Daphnia pulex: one gene and its partners. The protein of the gene in region 3 purifies or fractionates together with the protein of the main gene of each other region. This does not show direct contact. Links are inferred from orthologs where the notes say so. Each region holds a gene or a part of one and is shown on either strand. Other genes may lie near its edges. The genes, in order: SWI/SNF complex subunit SMARCC2-like, brahma-associated protein of 60 kDa-like and trithorax group protein osa-like.

Evidence for each region.
Region 1: the proteins of trithorax group protein osa-like (region 3) and SWI/SNF complex subunit SMARCC2-like purify together in Drosophila melanogaster (affinity purification with mass spectrometry; 3 studies listed by BioGRID, with this or other methods). This does not show direct contact. The link is inferred for Daphnia pulex from reciprocal best matches to the Drosophila melanogaster genes osa and mor.
Region 2: the proteins of trithorax group protein osa-like (region 3) and brahma-associated protein of 60 kDa-like purify together in Drosophila melanogaster (affinity purification with mass spectrometry; 3 studies listed by BioGRID, with this or other methods). This does not show direct contact. The link is inferred for Daphnia pulex from reciprocal best matches to the Drosophila melanogaster genes osa and Bap60.

What each region holds. Positions count from the first base shown.
Region 1 is NC_060024.1:13,930,767-13,934,974, forward strand, and holds the start of SWI/SNF complex subunit SMARCC2-like, read left to right. Parts: upstream 1-1,362; coding exon 1,363-1,476; intron 1,477-1,558; coding exon 1,559-1,743; intron 1,744-1,811; coding exon 1,812-1,975; intron 1,976-2,040; coding exon 2,041-2,191; intron 2,192-2,251; coding exon 2,252-2,817; intron 2,818-2,882; coding exon 2,883-2,971; intron 2,972-3,062; coding exon 3,063-3,206; intron 3,207-3,268; coding exon 3,269-4,208. Other genes in the region: NAD kinase 2, mitochondrial-like, read right to left, coding at 1-25, 100-306, 365-672, 735-903, 969-1,052.
Region 2 is NC_060018.1:7,203,639-7,208,018, reverse strand, and holds brahma-associated protein of 60 kDa-like, read right to left. Parts: upstream 2,812-4,380; 5' UTR 2,633-2,811; coding exon 2,549-2,632; intron 2,475-2,548; coding exon 2,257-2,474; intron 2,196-2,256; coding exon 2,033-2,195; intron 1,971-2,032; coding exon 1,485-1,970; intron 1,412-1,484; coding exon 1,266-1,411; intron 1,197-1,265; coding exon 1,073-1,196; intron 1,003-1,072; coding exon 865-1,002; intron 783-864; coding exon 627-782; 3' UTR 426-626; downstream 1-425. Other genes in the region: CCR4-NOT transcription complex subunit 9-like, read right to left, coding at 3,510-3,690, 3,757-4,359. UniProt on the Drosophila melanogaster protein: Involved in the recruitment and site-specific anchoring of the Brahma complex at specific promoter sites.
Region 3 is NC_060023.1:7,296,664-7,300,325, reverse strand, and holds part of trithorax group protein osa-like, read left to right. Parts: coding exon 1-28; intron 29-109; coding exon 110-492; intron 493-556; coding exon 557-919; intron 920-1,371; coding exon 1,372-2,373; intron 2,374-2,691; coding exon 2,692-2,760; intron 2,761-2,967; coding exon 2,968-3,268; intron 3,269-3,414; coding exon 3,415-3,531; intron 3,532-3,662. UniProt on the Drosophila melanogaster protein: Trithorax group (trxG) protein required for embryonic segmentation, development of the notum and wing margin, and photoreceptor differentiation. Required for the activation of genes such as Antp, Ubx and Eve.

The DNA of each region.
Region 1 (4,208 bases), on a different chromosome or scaffold from region 3:
CGGAGAGAGCTTCGCCTATAAATACCTGTACAAGTAAAACGAAAATTTAAAGTTAGTTTTGATTTGATTGAAATAGTGTTTTCAAATTTTATACTGTACTTCGTTGAGAGCTTTCACAGGCAAAATTCGTTTGTTCTTTATGCTTTCTTCTGACTTAGGGACCTCGTCACGGTACTCGGAAATCTCTAAAAATCGGTTTTCTAATTGATTAAGCTGCTGATCATGCAGCTCAACAGGTACATCATAAATTTTATCGCCAATGAGTGTCACGCGGATACGCTTGCGAAAAAGCCAACGGAACTTTCCCTATGAACAACAAAATTTACTATTTGTTTGGAAGAGATAAAAAGGACGAGGAATTAACCTGAAGTAGCTTGTCAATGGCATTCTTGATGTTATTAGAGTATTTCTTCGGGAGGCAGAGGTAGCCTTCGGATCTTGTAGGATCGCTATTAAAACCAATTATCGTCTTCGTAGGATCGTGGATTTTACTTGCACCAAGTAAAAATGTACCATCTCCTCCAGCAGTAAAGATAACATCAGCCCAGTTAATGTTACTTTCATTGTAATCAAAGCGAGTCACAACTTTTGTTTCAATGTTCTTTTGCTCCAAGATACTCTTCACCATGGCTTCACAGTTTTTATGGAGAGTATGATGGTAGAGTAACATATCTAAAGAGAATAAACACTATAAGTATGTATTAAATTAACAACTAAAGTAAAGAAAGAATTACTGTAATCAGATCCTCGCTTTCGTAAGGCGTGCTCCAATTGATTTTCATCAAGATTCTTGTGCCTGAGCTTCTCAAATTCATAGCGAGATAGTTTTGTCAATACCAAGGCTTTTTTTGGAGAAAATGTGGATGCCTCTGATGGGCTCCAACTTCCTACTGAGTTTCTTGACTGGAAAAATTAATAAAAAATGTAGGTTTAAAAAAATTTTCAGAATGAAGTTGGTGTATCCCTACTAGTTTTCTGTACAGCTGTAAATTTCCTATGAAGGATAAGCTCCTTGTCGGCGAACCTTGAGATGCGATTTTTCTCAGAAACATAGCAGCACAACCGTATGGGTCACCGGAAAAATGGTCAGTAAGAGAAAGAAAAATACGTGTCAATCAGTCACGTTATATTTCTATAATATTATCTCTGCCATATTATCAGTTCACCAATAATCTGTTACGTGATTTCAAAACATTGGTTTGGGAACCATCGTACGCAGAAAAACTGAAATAGCCTAGCAGACAAAAAATTATTTCAACTTCCTAACGATAGATGGCTCTGTATAAATAGTGACGGCGTTTGAAACTAAACGACTTCCCTCCCTTGAATGTGAAAGAAGACGCATCAAAAGCATCATCAAAGATGGCTTTCGCACCGAAAAAAGACGGAGGACCAAATTTAAAATTCTACGAGTCTCACGAAACTTTGTTGCTTTTCGAAGGAGTAAAAGCATGGCTTTCAAAAAATTGCAAAAAGGTAAATATTCACCGGCAGCAATCACCGTTTGTCATGTTAATTCTTCGCTGTCATTTGACCGGTTCATTCCCTCTTGTTTCAGTATGTTCAAACAGACCCTCCAACAGCCAAAAGTCTTTCAACTTCCATTACTCAAGTTATCCAGTTTCAAGAAGATACTTATGGCAAAAATGTGGCTAAACCACCTTTGACAAGGATTCCTACAAAATGCTTCCTAGACTTCAGGCCTAATGGCGGCATCTGCCAGATTTTGGCTACTGTTTACAAGTATGTAACTCTTTATTTGTAGCATGCTTCAGTGTTATTGACATTTTTCATATTGATCTTTATAATAGGTATCGTACTGACCATGGATGGAGGCGCATGGATTTTGCTTCTCCTTCCAGAATGGAACGCCACATTGAAATGATGGTTGCGATAGAGAAAGCACTGATTCAAGCCAAATGTCTTGTTCAGCCTAATATTTACATCATGCCAGATGTTGATAAAGGACTTGTCGGTAAGTGCTGTTGTCATATAATAATGCAGTGTTAACAGTTTCATGACCTTTGAATGTCTCACTAGGTAAACTGAAAGAAATTGTCAAAAGGCATCAAGGGTTAATCGCAGAGACTGAAGCTGAAGCAACACATCTTGTTCATTCGGCTGCTGATCCACTCGAAGAAGAGTACGCCCGTCCACTGTTTCGTCGCGATCGCAACACTTTGCTTCATTGGTATACCTCAGTTAAAGCAACAGTTCTGAACCCATGAATATACAACGTGTCATGTCTTAGGTATTACTTCCCAGACTCGTACGACAAGTGGGATACGATCGAATTACCTGTCGATCCTCCAGAGCTCTCAGACTATCTCGAATCTTTGAATGAACCTCACAAAACCTACCGAGTTGCCGCCAACTGGTTGCTGGATTTAGATCAATACAACGAGTGGATGAATGAAGAGGATTACGAAGTCGATGCTAGTGGAAAGAAAAAAGTGCACAAGCTTCGATTGTCCGTTGAGGATTTGATGAGTGGCGGTGACAGTAAACAAAAAGGGAAAACTCCTTCCACTTTGAAACGGAGAAGGTCTCCTTCACCGGCTGGCAGTGGATCGACTAAAGCCGCTGCAACTCCCACAACTGCTGGTGGTGCTGGAAACAAGCGCAAGAGTGTCCGTCCTGCCTTGGGCAAAAAATTCAAAGGTGGCGAAGAGGACAGCGACGATCTTACACGAGACATGGACGATCCTCCCTCAGACACTAATCTCCGCGAAGTCGAAGTGCCAAAGACTCATCCCGTTCCGGGCGGACCTCCTCCAACGGCTATTAAGAAAGATGCCGATTGGATGCCCACTAAAGGTATTATAGATTATTTATTCTTTTGTTAATTGTAGTGTCATTGTTGTATTTTTGATTGAAATTAGGAGCTGCATTGACTGATTTAGATGAAGAAGGTGAAAAGTTGGCAGATATCACATTAGTCACACCACAAGACGATCCGCACGGGCAGCAGGTACTGCTACAACAGGTTATTATTTGGTCGGAAATTTCCAGAACTGTTTCGAGTAACCAGCCGTGTTATTTATTCACCTCCCCCATTTTAGCATGACGATAATGTCACCGACCAAACTCACCACATCATCATTCCCAGCTACGCTGCCTGGTTTGATTACAATTCGATTCACTCGATCGAACGTCGCGCCTTGCCCGAATTTTTCAATGGCAAAAACCGTTCAAAGACTCCAGAGGTAAAATGAAATTTTGGTTTTTCTTTTGTTCAAGTCATACCCATTTGGTCTTTTATTTTCAGGTTTATTTGGCGTATCGTAATTTTATGATCGACACCTATCGCTTGAATCCTACCGAATATTTGACCAGCACTGCGTGTCGACGCAATTTGGCCGGTGACGTTTGCGCCATTATGCGCGTTCACGCCTTTTTGGAGCAGTGGGGACTCGTCAATTACCAGGTGGATGGGGATTCACGCCCGATGCCTGTCGGCCCACCACCCACATCGCACTTTCACATCCTCTCTGACACGCCGTCAGGTCTGCAGCCCGTCAATCCTCCTCGGACAACGCAGCCATCAGCGGCCAAGACTCTGATCGACATGGATAAGAAGACGGCAGCTCGCCAATCCGAAACAGCTCCCGTGGCCAATAATTTCGGCCTGAAACTGGACCAATACAGCCGTAAGAGCTCGTCCGTGTTGAAGAACAAGGCAACCAGAGAGTGGACGGAACAGGAGACGCTGCTCCTGCTCGAGGGTTTGGAACTGTACAAGGACGATTGGAACAAAGTCTGCGAACACGTTGGAACTCGCACCCAGGATGAATGTATTCTCCACTTTCTTCGCCTTCCTATCGAGGATCCATTTTTTGAAGACGTTGAATTGGGTGGCGGCGGAGCTGTTGGACCTTTGGCCTATCAGCCCATTCCGTTCAGCCAGGCCGGCAACCCCATCATGTCGACGGTGGCGTTTTTGGCATCAGTTGTGGATCCACGAGTTGCTGCCGCTGCTGCCAAAGCTGCGATGGAAGAATTCGCCAAGATCAAGGACGAAGTTCCATCGGCCCTGCTGGAAACGCACTTGAAGAACGTCGAAAATGCTCTGAGCGAAGGCAAATCGGACGCCTCGGTGGCCGCTTTGGCCCAATCTGGAATTGCTGGAACAGTTCAAGACAAGGAGGAGGCCGAGAGGGAGAAGGAGAAAGCGGACAAATTGGCCGAAGAGAAGGAAGCCTTGGAGA
Region 2 (4,380 bases), on a different chromosome or scaffold from region 3:
TTCATCGAAGGAATATTGAACCGATCCCATGACCCCAATACTTATCGATTACTCAACAGTCCCTTGATAGTTTATAGTTTATTTGTTTTGAATGGGTCGGGCGTTCGAGCACAGTAGAAAAACCAGACTGATATTAATGCATCAATTACTACGAGTTTAGTAAAAATGTGTTCACCCATGGCATCATATGACTATTCTAAAATTATCAGATAGATCAGATGAGCCCTGCACTGCCTAAAATTTCCTTCTTAAATTTAAGCGAATTTAAGTTAAGGAAAAAGCGCTACCTAGATTTGGGACACACGGTAAAAATTGAAAAGCATAAACACAAAAACAAACAAACAAAAAAATTTAAAAAAAATAAAAATCGAGAGGTCTGAATCTCTTTACTTGCGTGGGTGGCAAACAATAGTAATGATGAAGTATTATTTTAAGACACCATGTATTTAGACCCAAATTAGGATTCACGATACTCGAAGAAAGTTAAAAGTTTCCTTGTTATTTTACCAGTCTGCAAATGCACGATAAGTAACTCGGGATTTTTCTTTTAATCTGCTGTCACTTGGTCACAGTTGGCTTACATAAACGATGTCCAACCAAAAGTTGTTTTCCTTAGTAGTAACATTCTAATTGTTACGAATGCCTAATGCCTGTTCCAATTCGGCACGCTTTTGTTGAACTTTGCTGTAAAAATATCGGCAAACGGCTTCTTGGGTCCAGCTTTGCTCGTAAAACTCTCCACGTCGCTCCTCTTCGGGATTTCCTACGATGTCAGTCATAGTCTGAAAACAAAAAACAAAACAAAAACACATCGTTTAAATTTATCCAACACATTTTTGTAAATTTTTTTATTTAGCTTTTTACCTTCAAATCCCTTGTTTGAGATAAGAGCCATTTGTTTATGAATTGCTGCGGATCTCGGGCAAATCCAAGGAAAAATTCTCGACTGATCTTCAGTTGATTAATGCTTTCAACCGTTTCGTGGATCTTGTTGTCTAAGCTCTACATCCACAAATTAAAAATTAGATATATCTTAACATGCCAAAGTAATTGACAGGAAGAAAAAAAAAACCTGAATTTCTTGCTGGCTTGCAGTAGAAAGCAAAAAATTATTCATCTGGGCTTTCAATGTATCATCAACTTCTACATCAATGTCATAGCAGGCAGTTTTTTTCTGATCTGCACTCTCCACACTGCTGTTGAAAGAAAAAAGTTATAAAATTAATATAAAATGGAAAATGGTCTCTTCTTTAATTTCTAAGTACCTTATCAAATGGTTGATAACAATTGGATCAGGGGGATGTAAGAGAGGATTCAATCTTTGTGGAATTTCAGCAAATTTCATTCTAGGACATCCAAATATTTGTTCCATATATTTGTCACAACGAATGAATTCTCTTTCTTGGTGATCCTAAGGTAGTAAGGAAGTAGAAAAAAAATTAGATTATTCTTGACACATGGCTTGTAACAGCTATGAATAATACCTGAAGTTTGTGAGTTTTAATGTACTGCCACAATGCAGAGATTACCATGGGTCTTGTTTGAGTGTGAATGCCAAGAAGACGAGCCAAACGCGAGTCGAGACGAAATTGCAGCGGTTGATAGTCGAGCAAAAGTAAGATGGTACACCGTACATTTCGATCTCCTGGTCGTTTTACTTGAAACCCATCCGTTTCTTGAGTAGTAGACGTTCGATGCCATTCCACAAGGTGGTTATCAGGCCCATACAAGTCTTTATCAAGCTCAATGACGAGAGATTTGAAAAACGAAGAAAACTTCCGTTTGACTTTATTGGGATCTGATTTGGCAGCATCATCCAGAAGTCGTCCTTCTACTCTCAGTTCCCAAGAAGCAACCCCGCTTCCTCCGCCAACATCTTCAGTATTATCCATTTCTCTAGCAGGGTAGAATGTGTTTGAGATGAAAATACGCAATTTTCGTTTTTGTTTCATGGGTCTTTTCAAAGCTTCCTGAAACGAAAGTATTAAAAGTATTACTGACACGTGTAAAAGAAATCTTTACTTCAACTTACTTGAATATCGAGACGTTTTCTCATAATAGTAGCATCCAATTTTCTTTCAAATGCCAATAAATCCATGTAAGCTTGAGATTCAGGAACCAAATCTCGAACTTTCTGTGGAAGAATCTTGTCTGCAAGCTTTTTCTTTTTCTTTGCACTGTTAGGGCCATATTCACTACATATAAACCATTAATACTTGGATGTTAAGGACACAAAGAAATAATCTGATTTCTTACAGTTTTCCTGTTTGATTAGGGGCTCTCATGTCACCAGGTCTCTTCCCTGGTCCCAAAGCTTGGGGGCTCATTCCGGGACCACCAGGCCTTACAGGCTGTCCACTATAGGAATTTGGAGGTGTTGGATTCCCAATCATGTTTGGTCTTTGACCCATCATTGTAGGACTTGCTGAAGAAGTAGAGTTTGGAGGGTTTTGAATTTGATTGAATGCCGGGCGCTATGATAAAATGAAAGTTGAATGACATCAAGGTTTGGTACTGTAAAATTGAAGACAACAGAAACTATACTTACAGGGTAATTTGGAGAGTTGAACCGCATAGAACTCCCCGGAGAAGGAAAGGGAGGTCTTCCTGTAGCTGCGTTCGTATTTTGCATTTTATAAAACCGTCAAAACGGCGATCGACACAATACACACCAAAAATTAAGATATACTTTTTCTTCGATTATTTACTTATTTAATTCTTAGTGTTCTTTTGCTTTTTTACGGATGAGATGAACGGTCGAACCTGCCGTTTGAAGCTTTGATTCGCCATCTGTTGACCGCGTCTATAAACCTCCCTCAACACCACGTAGCGGCCAAAAAGCATACAATTCAAGGTTTTTTTGTTTCTATAAAATGTACAAAAATTCAGCTTGGAATCTCTTGGAATGTTCAGAGGGTGCGGGTTGCGCGAACGAACTTGATATTATTTATTTTCCATTCCCATTATTCATTAATTTTCAGACCTAATTTCTTATTTTACGGTAGTGCACTCAGATAATATTCGATTATTTGCAAAAATACAAAATAGTAAGTAATTTTTCAATACTTGGACCAATTAAAAATCTAAGACTTAAAAGTTAGGACCAAAAGCAATCGTGGCAGTTAACAAAAACATTTTTATCGTCACAAAATATATTGCAACAGAGATAGATAGCTTGAACCGTCTTGACACTACACCCGTGGCCCCGTGCTACATCTTTCGCCTTGTCTTTCGCGTTAGTAAATTGAACCTAATTTTTACATAACACTTCAAATTTATATTGCGTATTGATACTGAACAAAAATGAAATCACCGTTTCGTGTATCCTCAAATGAACATCTTATAAGTAAATTTAACATTCTCTGAAACACGTGTTTATAATTTATATAATAAGTCAGCAGAAACCGCAAAATTAGTTGCAATAAAAAACAATACAGCAAGTTTGTATTATAATTCTGATCGATTTTTCGCTGAAGACAAGACAAGAGCATTCATTCTTTTTTAACATTTCATGGTTGAGTCATTGAGGGCAAACCGGTGATTCGGGGATCTACCATTCCATTAGTAGTTTCCAAATTTTTTAGAAGTTGCGCCATCCACTGTTTAGTTGACTTATCATCTTTAAGACATGTTGAGAAAGTGCTATCACGCAACTGATCAGGTAGGCATTGTCGCAACGCTTCACGAGCCCTAGAAAATATAGTCGAATTTTATATCAATACGAAAATTCCTTTTTGGTTTTTGCAAGTCCCTTACCTTGGATTGTCAGAAAGACGAAGATAACATCGGACAACGTGCTTCAAAAGACGAGCTGACTGTTCTTTGGCCAATGATAAAACCATTTTACCAAGTATCATTGCAACATGAGAAAAGCGCTCATAAGTTTGACAAATGTAAGCCAGACCAGTTTCATCCAAGAGAATTTTTTGAAGTATGAAAGTTGCAACAGTCTTGGACAGTTCAGATCCAGTTTCCATTATCCTCAAACACAATGGAATTATCTCTGTTGTAAGAAGAAAGTTGATAACCTCCTGTTCATCAGTTTTAACTAGAGCACCAATGACTCCCAAACTGGTCAAACGAAGATATTCAAATGGCCGTGTCTTGCTCACAGTGTGCAAAAAAGGGTAGAGGAATAATGGGATGTGAGCTTGCAGAAAAGCAGATCTGGTTTCTTGGTGTGAAGCAACACATTGCAGAAGAGCAAGAGCATTGCAAACTCTGTTGGACTGTTGAGCAGTAAGAGTAGGTGGACTTACTGCTGGATAAATGCTTACAATATCTTGCAATAGAGCTGCTATAGTTCCAAATGAATGCCACAGCATAGGAGCCAAATCAGGAACAACTTCTCTCTTTTTACTGCATGGAAGAAATGAAAAA
Region 3 (3,662 bases):
AGCATGAACAATGCTAGCAGCATGACTGGTAGGCACCCGTGTCCACGACACTGAACAGAGGATCACAACTCAACTTTGATTTTAACCTCCCGTTGTTTTATTGCTGCAGGTCATCCTCCGTCAGCAGCTTCTCCTGTTACCAATTTGGTGACGACAGGACCGGACGGTGTGGCTGGACTGGACGAAGCCTCTCAGCAATCAACGCTGTCCAACACGTCGGCGGCCTCTGGTGACGACGTTTCGGCCCCTTCGACTCCACGTTCGCGCAAAGAAACCAGCTCGATGCCAATGACCCCGTCCGCCCATCATCCGCCCTTTTCTCAGCAGCCGCCGCACCAAATGCTCAGTCACCCACCAACGCCGCAGAGCACCGTTCCCAGCCCGGGACCGGCCTCCTTATCTTCCCAGCACGAAGATTACAATGACGTACATAGTCCGGGTCCAGGTGTCGGTAACTGGAGTGTCTCTACGCGACCTACACCATCTTCTCCGGTATGAATCAGTTGCTTTTTATTCATTACTTAACAAACTTTTTCACGTTTTGTTTTTCTTCCAGAAAACGTCGCATGTTAGTGACGCGCTTGCGCGGATGTATGACTTTGATGATCATCCTGATCGAAGGAAGTTCCTCGATCAGTTGCTGCGTTTCATGGAAGAGAAGGGCAGTCCCATTACGGCCTGCCCGACTATATCCAAGAATCCGTTGGACCTCTTCCGTTTGTACCTGCTGGTTCGGGACCGTGGAGGTTTCGTGGAAGTGACAAAGAACAAAGTATGGAAAGACATCGCTCAGACGCTGGGAATCGGTGCTTCTTCCAGCGCCGCCTATACACTACGCAAACACTACACCAAAAGCCTCTTCCCTTGGGAGTGCAAATTTGACCGAGGAGGCGTCGATCCACAGCCCATACTCAATCAGGTACGTCATTTTGTTGCGGTTTTTATTACAAGAAAAAGGGTTTTGTCTCGAAGTTTTTAATAGCGATATTTAATTTTTTTTACATTTTTCGTGTTCATTTTCAGAGAAATTATTCCCACATTTAAAAAAGATGTATAATTTGTACTTTAATAATGCGAATCGAAAAGCAGTAGGCTTTTTGGTTTTATTTTATTTTTCTGTGTGTGCGTGTGAAAAAAGTGGGATTACAGAATGAACCGACAACAGCGCATAGCAGCCGAAATTTTTATCAGAATTAGTCAGTTTTTATCTCACAATAACAATACTCGAGATTGTTTGACAAAAACTGACGCATTTTAGTAAACGAATCGACCCAGATGTCGTGGATTATCAGTAGCTCAGTGGGGTTTTTGTTTCGATGCTATTAGCCATGTTTTTCTTTGTGCTAATCGACCGTTTCTGTATCCCTTTAGGTGGAAGCCACAACCAAAAAGAAACCGGCTCCTAAAATAAGTGTGCCCTCGCCGGCTGGATCATCCAACAGTCAGGATTCGTTCCCGTCTTCTGGAGTGCCGCCTATCCCGTCTATGGATGGCTACCCCAATGCACACTATCCTGGTTATCCTCCGCCTCATGCTGGAGAAAACATTGCCGCAAGCAATCCATTTGATGATCAACAACACTATGGTGGCAGAGGCGGCGGTGGACATCCCGGCTATCCGCCACACCAACAGCCTCCTCCCCCGTCTGCTCAGCAGCAACAACAACATCAACAACAGCAACAACAGCAGCAGCAACAACAACAGCAGCAGCAGCAACAGCAACCTCCTTCAATGTACAATACAATGGCTGGTAGACCTGGAGGATATCCTGGCCATCCGGGTCATCCCAATCATCCTAATCACCCTGGCAATCATCCAAACCAGGGAGGATATCATCATCCGTACCAAAACGAGTACCCAAACCCAAACAACCAGCAGTATCCTCCGTACGCGACTCCTCCAAATCGAACAATGTATTCAGCGCCCTACCCGGAACCTTACAACCCTCAAGCGCCACCGAGTGGACAAGCTCCCCCTCCTGGGCCAGGCCCTGGGCCATCACCTTCGGATCCTTACGGCCGATTTATGCCTCCTAATCACGCTCCAGGAGCTGCAACAGCATCGGGGCCTTACCCTCCACGACCGCCTGTGCCTCCTACGGCGTCAACTAATGTGTCGACACCCACGTCGACACCGAGTCCAAGTCCGGCGACGATAGCCACTTCGACTTCTACGGGGTCACAATCCGTACCCCCGTCACCCCTCGCACAATCCATGCAGCCACAACAACAACCGCTCGTTCAACAGCAACAACAATCACAGCCTCCTCAGACGCAACAGCCGGGTAATACCAGTGCTGGACCCAGTCCAGCTCCCAGTCCGGCACCCAATGCGGGAACACCTGGTTATCCAGAACAAACTGATCCGTACCAGGTAACTTATTTATTCTAGTTACGAATTTGCCTCCTCGTGTAGTTCAAAGTATTAACGAAAGTAGAAGAATGCTATCCATCTTTTGATTGGCCATCTGTTTTTTTTTTAAGCATGACTAACCAAAAGTAACAAAGTACACGCACGATGCTTGATAGATTTTGTTTCAATTTCGTGTATTAATTTATTTTGCTGTTTCTATTTGATTAGTAATTATTTTCTGTTTAGTTTTATTTCGATTTTATTTCTCATTATCTCGTTTTTTGTTTCCTCTTCTCTAATCCGCTCCGATCATAATTTTGATTTCATCTGCAACTACAGCGGAGTGGATTGCGCCAATTGTTGGCCTCGTCGACCTTGTTGGCTCCGCCTTCTTCTGATAGACAGCCTGTATGTGTTTTAATTTTTCCCCATTTCTCTACTTAAATCATTATTTCTTTTTTCAAAACTAATTTGCGTAGTGCTTGATAGTTGATTGCTGGATTGGTTTTTTTTAACAACACTAAAAAACAACCAAAAAATCTCTTCTTTTTTCTTTTACTCCAATTCTGAATATTTTGTTTTGGCCTAAATGATTGACGTTTATTTTTTTGAAAGGGTTATCCGGGTGGAACCACACCATCCAATTTGGGTCCACCTGCTGGTCAGCCTTATCCAGGACTCATTCGACCGGGGACTCCTGGGCCGACTCCTTCAGGTATGCCACCTCGCCAGTCGACACCCACTCCGACCGGTCTGAATCCACCGGTTGGCGGAGTAAGTGGCGCAGTAGTTGGACCTAATCCCAATGCTCCTCCTACGCCCGGCGCCCCGATTCAGCAACAACCAGGACCAGGGCCTTATCCACCTTACGGCCCTCCTGGTCAGGCGCCCAACCAACCACGGCAACCTTCATTCGGTAAGGAATTCATTCACGTGTACTATGTGTCTAGTAAGCGGTGATGGATTCTTCTGTTGAAATTTATTAAATCTTAATTTGATTTTTTTTTTCTAATGTGGGTTTCTTTTTTTTCTTACTTTAATTAATCGTCGCGATCCACTCAGATCCTTACGGATCTTACCGGTCACCTTATGGTTTGGCCGGTTCCGGTGATCTTACCTCAAGTGGTGGTGGTGGTGGAACGGGTGGAGTCATGGGTTTTAGTAGCAATCTTGCAACAGGCGAGTGACAGCACTCTTTCCAGTTGTCTTGTGTTTCGTTAATCGCATGCCTGCTACTAATGCAGTACTGCACCCGCTTGTCAGCTATTCATGTCATGTCGATCAGCCAATTGAAACTAATTGTTGTTGTT